2 linked regions of the Tamandua tetradactyla genome follow. The protein of the gene in region 1 binds, or shares a complex with, the protein of each later gene. Links are inferred from orthologs where the notes say so. Each region holds a gene or a part of one and is shown on either strand. Other genes may lie near its edges.

The links.
Region 2: the proteins of RAD1 (region 1) and RHNO1 are in contact, whole or in part, in a crystal structure (PDB 6J8Y), measured with the Homo sapiens proteins. The link is inferred for Tamandua tetradactyla from reciprocal best matches to the Homo sapiens genes RAD1 and RHNO1. Residues at the interface, in NP_002844.1 of Homo sapiens: Asn47, Gly48, Ile49, Lys50, Phe64, Ile65, Gln66, Ser149, Lys155, Ile157, Glu211, Ala212, Lys240, Val241, Ser242, Arg244, Gln254, Tyr255, Met256, Phe266, Glu268; in NP_001239428.1 of Homo sapiens: Ser55, Trp56, Val57, Ser58, Pro59, Asp60, Phe61, Asp62, Thr63.

Annotation. Positions count from the first base shown.
Region 1 is NC_135335.1:84,403,535-84,410,982, reverse strand, and holds the start of RAD1 (cell cycle checkpoint protein RAD1), read left to right. Parts: upstream 1-4,351; 5' UTR 4,352-4,469; exon of another isoform or gene 4,470-4,586; intron 4,587-5,108; 5' UTR 5,109-5,160; coding exon 5,161-5,358; intron 5,359-6,306; coding exon 6,307-6,415; intron 6,416-7,448. Other genes in the region: BRIX1 (ribosome biogenesis protein BRX1 homolog), read right to left, coding at 763-806, 1,822-1,933, 4,147-4,305. UniProt on the Homo sapiens protein: Component of the 9-1-1 cell-cycle checkpoint response complex that plays a major role in DNA repair. The 9-1-1 complex is recruited to DNA lesion upon damage by the RAD17-replication factor C (RFC) clamp loader complex.
Region 2 is NC_135333.1:65,007,305-65,014,809, reverse strand, and holds the start of RHNO1 (RAD9, HUS1, RAD1-interacting nuclear orphan protein 1), read right to left. Parts: upstream 3,096-7,505; 5' UTR 3,077-3,095; intron 2,621-3,076; exon of another isoform or gene 1,656-2,620; coding exon of another isoform or gene 630-1,655; intron 1-629. Other genes in the region: FOXM1 (forkhead box protein M1), read left to right, coding at 630-1,655; TEX52 (testis-expressed protein 52), read left to right, coding at 3,253-3,324, 4,390-4,940. UniProt on the Homo sapiens protein: Involved in microhomology-mediated end-joining (MMEJ) DNA repair by promoting recruitment of polymerase theta (POLQ) to DNA damage sites during mitosis.

The sequences.
Region 1 (7,448 bases):
TACCACTATGTTTCTCCTTCACTAAGTCTCTGCTATAATATTAGGTTGAATATCCCTTCAGAAAAGCCTTTCCAGTTGAGTCTCAGTTGCCACAAACCAATACCCTGCTTTATATTCTATATCTCTACTTGAAGTTATAGTATGTGTTTATGGCCTGTCTCCCCCATTAGAATAGCTTCATGACAGGTGCTTTGTTTCATTAAATACTATTTCCACAGTACTTAGAATAATGCTTTCACATAGCAGCAGTTCGGATATTCGTGCATTTAAATGAATGAATAAAATAAGACTTTCTAATAGCTGGAATTATCTTAACATAATTTTCTTAAATTTTGAAAAAACTGCTTTAAAAAATACAAGTTTAGTATCTCTAACAATACTGTTTAAGTATGTTTAAAAAAATGTGTATGTTGATTGATAGTTTTTGTGGGTACTTACTATGAATTTAGAATTATACTAGATATTATGGGAGAAATAAAAGAATGAGATAGAATCCTTTTCTGCAGCAAATTTTAATATACTTAAGACAAGACAAACATAGGAATGATCTAGAAATATGAATATATACTGGAGAACTAAACTTGTGAGGTCTAAACTGTGAGCATTCTAAAAATTTAAAAGAGAATTTATCAAAGAGTCAATAGAATATGCCTGAATATCTCTCACAGGACAATTTAAAAGTAATTGAATAACAGACATGTTTTAAATGAACCATCTTTAGTATTTCCAAAATATTTAATTGTAAATACTTTCTAAAATTACCTCATTAATAACAAATAATTTATCTTTACGATCCATTTTAGTATCTGTAAAAAGAAAAAAGCCAAATAAACAAAAGATTTCATAGCTACTTCAATCAACTCATATTCTAACTAGAAGGTAAAAGTGTTTTACTTCTTTAATTTAAAAGAAATTTTACTATCATCAAACTGATAAGACCTGAAAACACATGACTTCTTTTAAAAATCTTCATTCTTTGTTAAATACAGAGAAAATCAATAAGCAGAAAAAGTCCCATAAACCAATGAATATGTTTAAGGATCCTAGTTCAAGAAAGCATTAGAGAAATTTAAAAACTTTATCGATGAAAATACCTTTCAATTCTGAATCATCATTACCAAAGAAAGCTGATCTTAAAATACTGATTTTAGATTAACACAGAAAAAGAAAACGTATACATTAAAATTTCTCTTATTAGTTTTAGAGATCTAAGAATACAGCAGTAGACCCAGAGCTTGAGAAACTGGTCTAAAGACCTAAATTATTACATAGAATTAAAACCAAAAGCACCAACCAATAAAAGCACAGAAATAGCTCCATAACAGTACTACAACAGTTTTAAATTTGAGATCTGACATTCTTCACTTCCCCATTACTAATAACATTAGTTTGGTATTCAAAAGCACGCTGAATCCAATTTAACTGTACATAAAATCTTATCCCAGGCTTTAAAAAGGAAAAAAACCCCACAAAACTCAGAAAGCAATACATTACAGTCTTAAATCATTTAGAAGGACAAAGCATCCTATGTATTTCAGGACCTCTGAGGGCATTAAAATGAAGACATTCCTGGACCTTGAAGAAATATTTCAATAAAGTTAGGATATTCTGTTTAAGAAAGTGAAGAAAAGATCTAATGGGTTCTAGAAAGAATTTCCAACAAAATGTTAATTGGAAAAAGTTGGCATTTGAAAGGATGAATTTGAGGTGCTGTGGTTCTTAACTTGACAAGATTGGACAAATGAAGCGTGACTTTGCGTAAACTACACAAATGAGCCAGTTTATAAGTAGAAAATTTTAAAGCATGCAATATAAACGCACCTGCTTTAGAATGAGGCATCAGCATTCTTAAGTCTTGCATTAAATGTCTCGTTCTGAAATTTATTCCTCTGGAAGAAAAGATGAGAATCCGTTCCTTATTTTTCCACTTGCCCTAAAGAAAAATAAAACTAATGTTAAGATTTTAAAATATCATACAGCACCTACCTTGGTTTTTTTTAAAAGATAGTTTTTAAAAAGCATCTAGTTTTTCCAACAATGCACCACCTTAATGTATCAAGACTAAGGCAGAGTTTGACTCTTGAAGAGAATTGTATAAATATATAACTTTTACAATGTGACTGCATGACTGGACCTTGTGTCTGATGCTCCTTTTATCCTGGGAATGGATAGATAAGTAAAAAAATATAGATTAAAAAATAAATAAATAATAGGGGGATAAAGAGTAAAATAAATTGGGTAGATGGAAATACTAGTGGTCAAAGAGTGGAAGGGGGGAAGCACAGGAAGCATGAGTTTTTTTCTTTTTTCTTGTTCTTTTTCTGGAGCGATGCAAATGTTCTAAAATACGATCGTGATGAATACACAACTATGTGATGATACTATGAGGCTTTGATTGCACACCATTTAAGGACTATATGTGTGTGAAGATGTATCAATAAAAATATCTTTAAAATAAAAAAATAAAACTCAGAACAAACCCCCCCAAAAATTAAAAAATAAAACCCAAAACAAAACAAAAAAAGACTAGGGCAGAGTGATAACTCTGCTTCTTCTCCCATGTGAGTAATTCCGGGAACTGAGATATTTCATTACATAGAAATATACAAGAAAATAAGACTGTAATGTCTACATATAAACCTCAATAGAGTATATACAAGTTTAAAATCTCTCTACCCCTGAAATAAAAATGGGCTCCTCATTCAAGATTTCTTGCACAACAGAACTTAAATATTAACTTAATATTTACTAAATTCCTACCAGGAGCCAAAAACTGTTCTTTCAGGATGGAGGAGGGAGGTGAGACAGATAGGAGATATTAAATAAACAAACTAATAAAGACATGCAGGTATGAAAGAGCATGAAATGCTAACAATAGTTAGAATTGTTTCTAATAGAATAGCAAACTATGGAAAAGGTAATTTCCTATAGATAAGGAAAGCAGAGAGAGTATAAAATTCCAGGTAGCAAGTCAAGCAATCCTGAGCCCTTCTATTCAACCTCTCAAGCTAATTTGGTTCTACTTTTAAGATTTTCAGCATTTTCCAACTTCAACAACATTGCTCTCCCTTGTACTGTCCCCTCTCACTTTGAATATCAAAATCTTACCCTTCCTTGGGATCCACTCAAAGGCTAAGTCCTTACCTAATTATCCCAGGGAAAAAGTAATCTCTATCCCCTGCACCTCCGAAGACTTTATCACGCTGTGACTCAGAAACTTACATTTTCCTGCTCCTTAAAGAAAAAGTGAAGACACTAACATTTACTGAAAATTTAACTTGTTCTTCACAAAAAGTAACTCACATTTTCTTCCTCTTAATTTGTAGATAAAGAGCTCAGAATGTCAGTTAATGAAGAACTGGGCTAGAATTTAAGCTCATTTTTCATTCTTCATAGTTCACTCCTTTCCTAGAACCTGCCACTACATCACAAAACACTCAACAATTGTTCATCTATTTGTTTCATCTACTTATCACCTACTGTATGCTAGGTTACTACATAAACGCAGGAGTCAAATTAACAAACCAAAAGCAATACTAGTCTTGACAGTACTAAGTTCTCAGTTGAAGAGGTCGCTTACTAGTTAGCTTTGCAATCCCAAGACCAAAGAGAACATAATCTTCGAATTGTGCCTGGCACAAGAAGTTTGTTGTATGGAGGCAAAGCTCATACAATCTTGTCTAGCTTTCAGGATCCCTTGAAAGTTAAAGATTTGATGAGATAAGTCCGAGTCAGTCTCAAGGACAGAGACTTTTTAAAGGACCGCAAAACAAGCTTCGAGATCCCTAATGGTGTCTGAGTAGAGCAGAATATGAGCATATTAACCACAGAAAGACACTCAACGACAAATAAACTAAAGAAAAGTGCTCCCCTACCAAAAAACTGAGTAATTAGAAGGCAGAACACGGGAGATAAGTCGCTTCCCCGCGACACGGGAAGTGCTCCAAAGCCCGCCGCCTCCCGAAGAGAGGCCACGAGGACGCAGCTTAGACAAAACGCAGCGTCCAGCGCCGCCGGGAGCAAAGAGAAGACCGGAGTCCTACTAAATACGGGCTGCTTCTAAGTAAACCGAGCGTTTACAGGTAAGCAGAAGCAGAACGGCGCGTGGAGTCGCGGCAAGTGCAACCCGAGGGTAATTCCTTCTACCTTGCAAACAGGGCCAGGGATACGGTCTTTCTCTTCATCCTCCACCTCCTCTGCCACGTCTCGTGGCTTAGCCGGCGACTCGGCATCTTTTTCGTTTCTTTTCGGCCTCTTGGCCTGGATTGCCATGCCTCCACGCCGTTTTCTCTTGACCACCGCCATCTTGCCTAACACTGTGCTCTCTCCCTTCCTTCCGGTTCTGTCGCTCTCTCCCTGTGCGATCTCTATGGTAATGTAGTGACTCATTCCGGTCTGTGCGGTACCTTCTTCTAGACTCTCTAGCCGTCCTCCGCCTCTGTGGTGACGGTGGCCGAGGCGGCTTGCAGGTTTGAAGAGAGAGGTGGGAGGGATTCCACTTTCTCCCCATTTCCCTGGAATTGGAGCTCCCTTCCCGGGTGAACTGGCCGGGAAGAGCCCTCTGGCGTTTAGGCCTCAGCTCAAAGGTAGAGTTTCCCACCCCCGGGATTCCTGGATGAGGAAACGGATGCTTTCCCGCGGGCGGGCTGATGAATGAGGTTGTCTGGAAATCTTCGAGGACCTCCTGCGGAGTCGGGGTCTGTCTGCCCCTATGGCTTGTTCTGTTAGCATCAGGGTCGGTGGCGCGGGACAGCTCGAAACAGACCCAGTGGAGATACATAGTCCCTACTTACTTTGGCGAAACTGGTTCCAAGTAGGACTACTGTGTGTCGGTTGCCAATTCTCATTCTCACAGCTTTTCAGGTAGGAGTTATTGTACCCATAGAAAGACGTAGGAACCTTGTCCTAGAGAGGTCCAGTAATTTGCCTCAAAGTGAAGAGACACTCAGGTGGTAGAGGTGGGGTTCACGCTCTGGCCGGTCGAGTTCAAAGCCCGGATCCTTTCCACTTGGCCTCACCATTTCCACGCAATTCAATATTGCCGGACCTCGCCAGCATTAATGGCGTGTTTTATCGTCTAATTTCTTTCGGTGTTTCGTTATCTGCAGGAGCGGGCGTTGGCCCCAGAAGCATCCCCTGGAGCCGAGTGTGCTATGAACGATGCCCCTCCTAACGCCACAGATCCAAGCTGAGAATGATCAGTACAGCTTAGTGGCCAGCCTTGACAATGTGAGGAATCTCTCCAACATCTTGAAAGCCATTCATTTCCGAGAACATGCCACATGTTTTGCTACTAAAAATGGACTCAAGGTTACAGTGGAAAATGCAAAGTGTGTACAAGCAAATGCTTTTATTCAGGTATGGACATAGGCACCTTTCAGCCTGTGACATGATATCCTTGACCCAGTTTAATGAATTCCAAAGGTCTTAATATACCTAATTTAAATTTGAGAACAAAATGTGGTTATTTGCTTATTTGCCTCCTGGAAACAAATTCCTTTTCTATCTTGTTTTATAGAGATAATGATTAATAATAAGGACTAATATTTATTAAGGTAAACTACAGGCTAGAAACTCTTCTGTTTTATATGTTTACCTCATTTAATTCTCACAATAGTCCATATTATTCCCACTTTACATTTGTGGAACTTGAGGCACGGAGAGTTTTAAGTGATATGGCCCAGTCCTACAGGTGGTAAGTGGCTGAATTGACCTGAGAACCCAGAATGTTTATGCTCTTCACCACTACATTATTACAACCTCCCTATTACTAAAAAAGATTTTCTTTTTATTTATTGTAATAGAATCTGTTTTTTCTTATAAAGTAATATTTGTATGCCCAGATAGGATTTCAGATTCAATTTAGCATTTTTTAACAACTAAGTGCCAAGCACATAGTGACCTAAGGGATAGAGGGATAGATGAGACGTTGTTCCTATTCTCCCCCAAAATCGAAAGCTAATATCATGTATATATTATTAAATTGTTGTCCCATTTTCCAAGTGAACTTAGTGGTACATATGAGCACAAAAAGGAGATGAAAGGGGAATGGTTTTCGATCCGGGAAGCTGCAGAAAGGATGCTTCATAAAGTATGCATGGAGCCTAAATCCCTGCTGCACCTTTACCTTTGAGAAGTGGTATTCTGATTATGGTTGAAGAAAGTGGGATGTGCTGATCAGTAATCAGAAATGAGTCTCATGGTGTTAGTGCAATATTGTTAAAGCTTATAAAGTGAAATATAGAAATTTATAGGTCATTAATACATGTAACTACATTTTCATGGTTTTTGTTTTTTTTTTTGTAGGCTGAAATATTTCAAGAGTTTACAGTTCATGAAGAGTCTATTACATTTCGAATTAATTTAACCATCCTTTTAGACTGTTTATCTATTTTTGGATCAAGTCCTATGCCAGGTGAACCATCTTATTATAGTTATAGCAACATAAAAGTATTATACAGAATGGTCAGAGAAATGCAGGAAAGTTATTTAGAATATAAACATCTCTTTAAAAAATTGCTAGTTCATTTTCAATTGGTCATAATCATGGCCTCAATTCTAACTTTTACAATATTAACAGAACGTATTTATATTTCCTTTCATATGTTCAAAAATATTTATAGTTATCTTGTAAGACAATTCGGAGTTGAGTTACAGTTTACAGCATTTTATTCAGGATACCAAGATTGTTGCAGCAGCAAAGAAACTTTTAGTCTGAAAAAGCAAAACCGATTTCAAGGCTGGGATGTTTGTGGGTAGTTTTATAAACAGAAAGAAGGAAGATGGCTAGGCTTTGTTGGTTTGGAGCAGGAACCTGTTAGTCTTATAGAGTTTTTATTTTTATTATTTTTATTTATTATTATTTTTTTTAACATGGGCAGGCACGGGAATCGAACCCTGGTCCTTGGGCATGGCAGGCAAGCACTCTTACCTACTGAGCCACCGTGGCCCGCCCTAGAGTTTTTATTTTTAATAAATAAATGGGGCTTTATTTTTAATAGGACTAGATGTGCTTAAGTAGGGGCTTAATTAGCTCTTTGGGATCAAGTGTCCTGAAAGGGACTTTCCAAAGAAGATGTTGTCACATCATCCTATGCTGGTTTGAGGAATTTAACTTTTGTGTTGGTTCTGAGAAAACCTAGGAGCTATTTTTTACTATACTTATTAATCTTTTTTTTATTTGCAAGGCTTTCAATGATTTCAAATCAGAATTGACCAAAAGAAGACCTTGAACATGTTTTAAATATCTTTAACTTTGTGAAATATGTTTTGGTTGCTTCTTTTCCCTAATCTGTCCAGAAATAAACAGCTAGTTGGTGGCAAAGAAAAACAGAAACCAGTTCTATAGACTCACAGTTTACTGTATTCAGTTTGTTGGCTTTTTATCCCTAATTCTGCATTATGAATCATTATGTCTGTATCCCCAAATGATTTCATTTAAGTTATGT
Region 2 (7,505 bases), on another chromosome or scaffold:
TCCTCTGTGGATTACTAAGCTACAGATATTATCCATTTTTCTATAGGGTTTTGTTATTAATTTGCGAGAGTTCTTTGTATGTGATAGACATTAGCCTTCAGTCTTTTATGCTGAAGATATTTTTCTACTTCTGTTTATTGCTTCTTAACTTTGTTTATGGTATCTTTTGCCACAGTAAAATTTTTAATTTTTTTATAGTCAAATATGTCTCTCTTCTCTTTTACAGCTTCTGGGGTTCTAGTCTTGGTTAAGAAGGTCACCCCCACCCTCAGATTGTACATGTAGTCTCCTAGATTCTCTTGCAGGATTTGTATGGTTTTAATTTTTGCATTTAAGTCTTTGTATACTGTTTTAAGATAGGCATCCAATTTTATTTTCTCTCAGATGTATGCTAATTATGCCAGCACCATCTGAAATGCTCCATCTTTTACCCCCAGAATTGAACTACCACATTTATCACATATTGAATTCTCGTATTTAATAGTTATTAAAAATGTTGAAAGCCCAAAAAGAGGATTAGTACCAGTATACCCGTTATTAGTCACAGTTCTCTGTCCTGCCTGTTGGCAGTGGGTTGAATCACCAGGCCTCTGGAGGCCCCTTTCACCTTATAACTGCTTCCCTTGCAGGTGCTGCTAGCCGAGGAAGGGATAGCCCCTCTTCCCACTGCAGGACCAGTGAAAGAGGAGAAAGTCCTGCCTGGAGAAGGGCTGTCTCCTTTGCTTCCAGTCCAGTCCATCAAGGAGGAAGAGATTCAGCCTGGGGAGGAAACGCCGCACTTGGCGCGACCCATCAAAGTGGAAAGCCCCCCCTTGGAAGAGTGGCCCTCCCCATCCCCATCCTTCAAAGAGGAGTCATCTCACTCCTGGGACGATTCATCCCACTCTCCCACTCCAAGGTCTAAGAAGTGCTATAGCGGGCTCAAGTCCCCAGCCCGGTGTGTCTCTGAAATGCTAGTGATTAAGCGAAGGGAGAGAAGGGAGATGAGCCGTTCCCGAAGGAAACAGCACCTGCAGTCTCCCTGTCTGGATGAGCCCGAGCTGCTCTACTCAGAGGGTCCCAGCACTTCCCGGCGAGCCCCAGAGCTCCCTTTCCTAGCAGATTCCTCTGAGCCTGCCTGCCAGCTTGGCTACTCCCAGGAAGAAGGAGGACCTTTTAAGACCCCTATTAAGGAGACACTGCCTATCTCCTCCACCCCGAGCAAGTCTGTCCTCCCCATAACCCCTGAATCCTGGAAGCTCACACCTCCCACCAAAGTGGAGGGCCTAGATTTCAGCCCAGTACGAACCCCCCGGGGTGCTTTTGCCCCCCTGCCTGACTCCCTAGGGCTGATGGAACTCAGCACCACCCCACTGAAAAGTATCCCCCTTTTCGATTTACCCCGAGAGTTCCTCAACTCGGAGCCCTTTGACCTCCCCTCTGACCCTTTTAGCAACTGCCCCCCCTCAGATATGGAAGTCCCCAAGTCAGGCTCTCCCGAGCCACAGGTCCCTGGCCCTTCAGCCAATCGCTCTCTGACAGAAGGCCTGGTTCTGGACACAATGAATGATAGTCTCAGCAAGATCCTACTGGACATCAGCTTCCCCGGCCTGGAGGAAGACCCATTGGGCCCTGACAACATCAACTGGTCTCAGTTCATTCCTGAGCTACGGTAGAAAGCCGGCCTTGCCCTCGCTGCTTAAGCTGTCCACTACTTTGGAGCATTTGTGTGCTGGGCAGGCCAAAGTTCCTGGACCCCAACCCCTCCATGAGAACACCAGTCAGGGACCGTCTGCTCTTCTGAGCTCCCCCTCTCCCGGTTGTGTCAAGGCAGCAGTCTGTGACTTAGCTGCCACTGGCACCTCTGTAAGCAGCAAGGCCCTGGAAACTGGTCTCTGTGCTACCTTAGGCTTCCCCCCAAAATCTGATACCTCTGCACCCTACCAGGAACGGAAGCATGGGAACAGCAAAAACAAGGTGGAAAGAGATTAGGAACTTCCCAACTGCTTCTGTTTTGTGTCCAGCAGTCTCTCACTGTCCCTGCTCCCTCAGGGGTGGCCCTTGTAAATAGTGTATATTCTCAAAATTGCCCTCTAATTATAAATGTAAACTTATTTCCTTAGATCATTATCTAGGGACTGCTAGAAGGTGGGTATGGTGACAAGGGGGTTCAGTTTGCATCTGTCCTTGTTTCTAGTTCCTAAAGAAGACAAGACCAGCAGTGCAGTTTCTTCCAGGTCCCACGTATTTAGCTCAAAAGTCTTCACTGTAGGCAACCAGACAAAGACATCTCCTTGCCCATATTCCTTTTATTGCCTCTTCCTCCCACTTTCCCATGTTTCCAAGTCATCTTTCCTGCAAGAAGAAATAGATGCATCTGAAGGAAAGAATGTGTGTCCAGATGAACCCCCTTTAGATGTGTCTCTGATAGTGTCCCTAATCATGCCGGGGAGATGAGCATCGATGAGAACTCGGCCAGAGGCCTGAGAGGGCTGACAGGGCCCCTGACCTGCCTGGCTTCCTTAGCGTGCACCTCAGCTTTGCAAAGAGCCACCTTAGGCCCCAGCTGACCATGTGCACACCAGGCAGCTCAAGAACACTACTGTAACCCCCTATCCAATAAAATCCAGAGTGGAAATGATGGTCTCTGTGGTGTGTTGGTGCCTGGTTCCTAAGGCATAAAAAGGCTTGGAAAAGAAAGGATATGATGATGGTAACAGGGAGAGCAGGGTCTGAGTTGACCTGAAGAAGTATCCAAGGGACTGAATACACACCCTTAAAACAGACATGGGCAGTTTTCCCCAGCTGGCCCTGCAAAGCCAGCTTATCGCCCTCATATCCAGCCTTGTTCTTTGGAACCTCTGTACCTGCTGATTAACTTGGGGCTTCCCAATAAGGAGACAGCCTAGGCCCTGGGAACACTGGGGAAGAGGGGACTTCCCTCTACCCCCACCCCAGGGCCTGGCAGCCAGCCCAACCTGCTTTTCTCGGGGCCCCCAGCCTTCCAAGGCAAGTCCCACCCCCTTCCCAGAAGCAGCTCCTGCCACCAGCTTTTGCAGACAGGATTTATAAAAGTCCCAGCCCCTGCCTGTCTCACCTGAAAGGCAGCTAGGGCTCCAAGGTACTGAAGAGCCCTCCCAGCGAGAGGGTAGGGCCTCCTCTCTGCGTCACTGCTCAGGAAGGATCACCATAGCAACTCCAGCAGCAAACAATGGAGCAAGAAAGAGCTTTCCTACAAAGCAGCCCCTCCTGGCTAGGAAGCACAGAAGAGGAATGGCCAGTTACCCAGGAAGATCTCCTAGAGGGCCGACTTATCCATCCAATGTCAGAGAACCTTTCCTGCAGGTAGGGGTGCAGACTCCCCAGCTAGGGACTGGCCCCCCTGCAGTGGATTCCCAGCCTACAAACTCTCCACTGTGCTGTCTGCCACTCCAGATCCTGTGATGCTGCACCACAGGTCACAGAGCTCAGAGCAGAGAAGAGGAGATGCCTGGGGTGGCCTTGTAGAAATAATTTAGGGGTCTGGGCCCAAGAAATAGGTGAAATTTTTAACCAGAAAAGCCCTTGGGGTGGAGAGGAAGGAGGGGCTTTTTAAAAGAGACATTTCTAAGCTCCAGCCACGGGGCCAGGCGCTATGCCAAGCCCCCTTCATATGGCTCAGCATCATGAGCAGGGAAACAGGCTGGGTCCAAATCCCAGCTCTGCCACTCATTCTCTCAGCGCCTTGGGTGAGTTACTTACCCTCCTGTGCCTTGCTTTTTGCAACTTTAAAATGGGGATAATAACAATACATAGGGTTGTGAGAATTAAATGAGAGGTGGATAAGTATTTAGCAGAGTGCCAATTCATATTTGCTACTATTTGTTTCACAGCAGGTAGGAGTCTCAGAAAAGAGAATCAATTAACATTCTAGGTGCTTTGTTATTTGCTCTTACTTTAATGAGAAGGGTGAGAAAGCACCAATGGTGGAGAAATGAGAAGTAAGAGGAGTAGAGGACAGAAAAAAACAGTGGGCTCTTTGCTCTGGAGAAGGCGGGCTTCTATACCTGACCGGAGAGGGGAGGCATTTTCCCTTATCATTTCCTCAGGGCCTTTTATTAGGAGCCCCAGTTCCTGGGAAGAAAACTGGGGGCCCTAGAATGTAAAGGATGGGAGAAAGTTAAAAGTGAAGGGTGGGGAAATGTAAGATGAGGAAGGAGGGTGGGAAATCATATGAGTACTCATATGAGTAATACAGAACAGTCATGACTTCTGTGGGCAGGACAGTGGAGAGAAATGGTGCCCTGCCAAGCCATCATTCTCACCCTGGGGTTGGAGGAGGCTGGCACCTTGTGCTGGGAGGCTCTGTGCCCACCCACCCCCACCAACACCCCTCCAGCGGTCCCCAGGATCCCTCTTGTCTCTCCCCAGATGGTCCATGCCTCTGAGTCCCAACCGACCAACCATACCTGGGCCCAGCGTGAATTCCTCCTCCCCAGTGAGCCCTGGAAGTTGCCCGGCTTCACGCGGCAAGCGTACCATCAACTGGCCCTGAAGCTGCCACCCTGCACAGAAGCAAAGTCCAAGGTCCGCCACCGACTAAACCACCCTTGGACGGACACAGCCAAGCACACGTGGGGCTTTCACACATGGCTCGATGTGGGCCGTCTGCCAGCCACCTTCCCCTCGCGGCCCGACAGGCCCTACGATAGCAACATCTGGCGCTGGCTGACCAACGCCAGTACCCATCACCAGCCCCCAGCAGACCCCCCCATCCCACCTCCGTCCTGGATGGGCAAAAACAGCTTCCTGACCTTCATCTACTGTACTCCCATCTTCTTGGATGAGAACAGGAAGGACCAAGTGATCCACAGGACGGTGAAGGAGCTGAAGGAGGTGGAGAAGCTCAAGTTGAGAAGTGAAGCAAGAGCGCCTCCGCTGGACGCCAGGGGCAACATCCTGCCGCCAAGGAACTTCAAGAAGTAAGATGAGCTGAGCCCCTTCCTCGGAGCTCACCTAGTCACCTCATGTTCAGGTGACCCTCCCGCTCTCTGACTCTTTCCAACAGCTAGCTTGGTGCTCTCTCCTTCCCAACTCTCTTTTCTGAGCATAGCCAGAGAGACCAGGTAGAGGCAAGGGAAGGACACAAGTTGATCAGCTAAATTTGGGGGGAGTAGGGCGGAAACTAAATTTAATACCTGCTGGACACTGAGGTTACAGAGAAGCGTGGCTCAGTCCCTGCCTGGAAGGAGCTCACGAAAGGCGGTTGCTCACTGGGTGAAAAGACACATCCCTGCTCCAGGTCCCAGGTGTTGCGCCCCAAGGGTGCAGTGAGGCTGGGTGCCAGAATTAAGCCGGTTATCAAGGGGAAGAGCTTAGAACCGGAGTCAGAAGGACTGGATCAAAGTCCAGGCCGGACCACTTAGGGAAATCCCTCAGGTTCCATCATTGATAAAATGCAGATGATAAATACAGACCTCATGGGGTGAAGATAAAAATGTGTTAATCAGCATGTAAAAGTATTGACCCAAGCTGGATGTTGCTACATTCAGAAGTGGAAGGGATTGCTTGTGATTCCCCTGGGAGACTTCTTGAGGAAATTGGGAATAAGCCTGGGTCCGCGGTTGGGGGTGGGAGGAGATTAGCGCCCTCCAGGTTGGGTTGGTTGGTAAGAGCCGAGGCAGGAATGTGAAAGGAGCTGTTAGAGACCCTGCAGCCCCTCCCCTCCCTGCCTTACATGGGAATTCGTAGACATTCCCCTGCTGCATGCATCTAGTCGAGGTTCTGGGCACAAGCAGTGGGAAAGGGTGAGGAGAATAAAGATAGAACAACTCAAATTCCAATCCCAAAGGCATTAGCAGGAGGACCAAGGGATTGAAGGGGAAGGCAGTGTGGAGATTTTTAATAGGAAAAAAAATAGAAGAAGACATTTTAAGAGATCATTCAGGTTCCTAGTTTCTCTCTGCTGTCCTAGGTATCCAAAGCTGAATAAGATAGATCACTCCTCAGAAAAATTCAATCTAATAACAATTGCTAACCCTTACTAGCACTTACCACATGCCAGCTGCTGTTCTGAACACTTTAGGTCTGTTGTTTAATCCTCCCGTGACCCAATGGATAGAAACTTATCATCAACCCCATTTCACAGATGGGGCATCTGAAACACAGAGAGGTCAAGTATCCTGCCCAAGTTCACACAACCAGGAAGTGGCAGAGCTGGAACGTGAACCCAGAGAGTTCAGTTCCGGTGCCTCGGTCTTAACCTCTGTGCTCTAGTTTCCTCTTGTCTGTTCGGGGAATCAGACAAATTCACGGTTACTTCTAATGTCATGGGATAGTCTATAAAGGCAGCTTCAGAAAAATACAACTATCCACAAAAAGAACTTAGCACTCAATAAATGGCAGAAAGAGTATGGCCTCAGGAATCAGACAGATCTGGGTTGGAATCTGGTTCCATCACATCCTTGCCATATGGCCTTAAGTTTCTTAAGCTCATTGAGCCTCACTTTTCTCAAGTATGCATGGGAGAGTAGAGTACCTGGTACCTGCAGGGTGGTTAGAAGATTCAGTGACCAGGTGCCTGGCATGGAGAAGGGATTCAGATCCCACCAGTATTAGTGTGGCATCTCAATGAGAAGAGGGTCCTTGTCTTACTGGTTTACCACTATTGGCCCAGGCCCTGGAGCCGGGAATGAAGGAATGCATCTTAGACAAGATTTCGCTCTTCATGGACAAGGTAGTATTTGAACTGTATCTTGGAGGATCTGTATGAGTTCACCAGGTAAGTGAACTTTTTCTTCCATTCTTTAGCTATCCCCAATTTATCCAGATTCTAACTATCCTCCAGTCCCAACTTCTCAACTAAAGTAGCACCAGTGGGAAGAATCCTGCATTAGCTCAAGCATTTCTTCTTTTCATGGGTAAAACATAATGTTGCCCAAGGGCTCTTCCAGCCCTGACCTGCTGTGATCCTACACCTCTGATGATTTCACAAGAAAAGGGATAAAAGGAAAGACCCATCCTTCATGTTATTCCTTTTGAGCCAGTCTAGAAGGGATTAAAATGGTCTGGATCATTCAACAGACTCAGAGGATTTCAAATGTATGACTTGGTCTAAGCTTTAGGATGCTTAGATTCTCAACCCTGGTAGTACGTTAGAATCACCTGGCACTCGTTTTAAAAATGCTGATATTTGAGCCCCATGCAGGAGATTCTAATTTGATTAGAGTAGGGCACAGCCTGGTCATTGGTGTTTTTAAAGATCTCTGAATGTGGTTCTAACGTGCAGCCAGGGCCAAGGCTGTGAATCTGTGAATGAAGCCCACAACAGCAATATTTGCTGAACCAGTTACAAATCATGTTGAAACATAAGAAATTTGGACTACTCAACCATGTTTTATTTATTTATTTTTAAGTCCATTTCCTACTTTCCAAACTAATCCTAAAGACCTCAGAGAAGAGGAAATCATCAGAGAAGGTGTAGGATCACAGCAGGTCAGGGCTGGAAGAGCCCTTGGGCAACATTATGTTTTACCCATGAGAAGAAG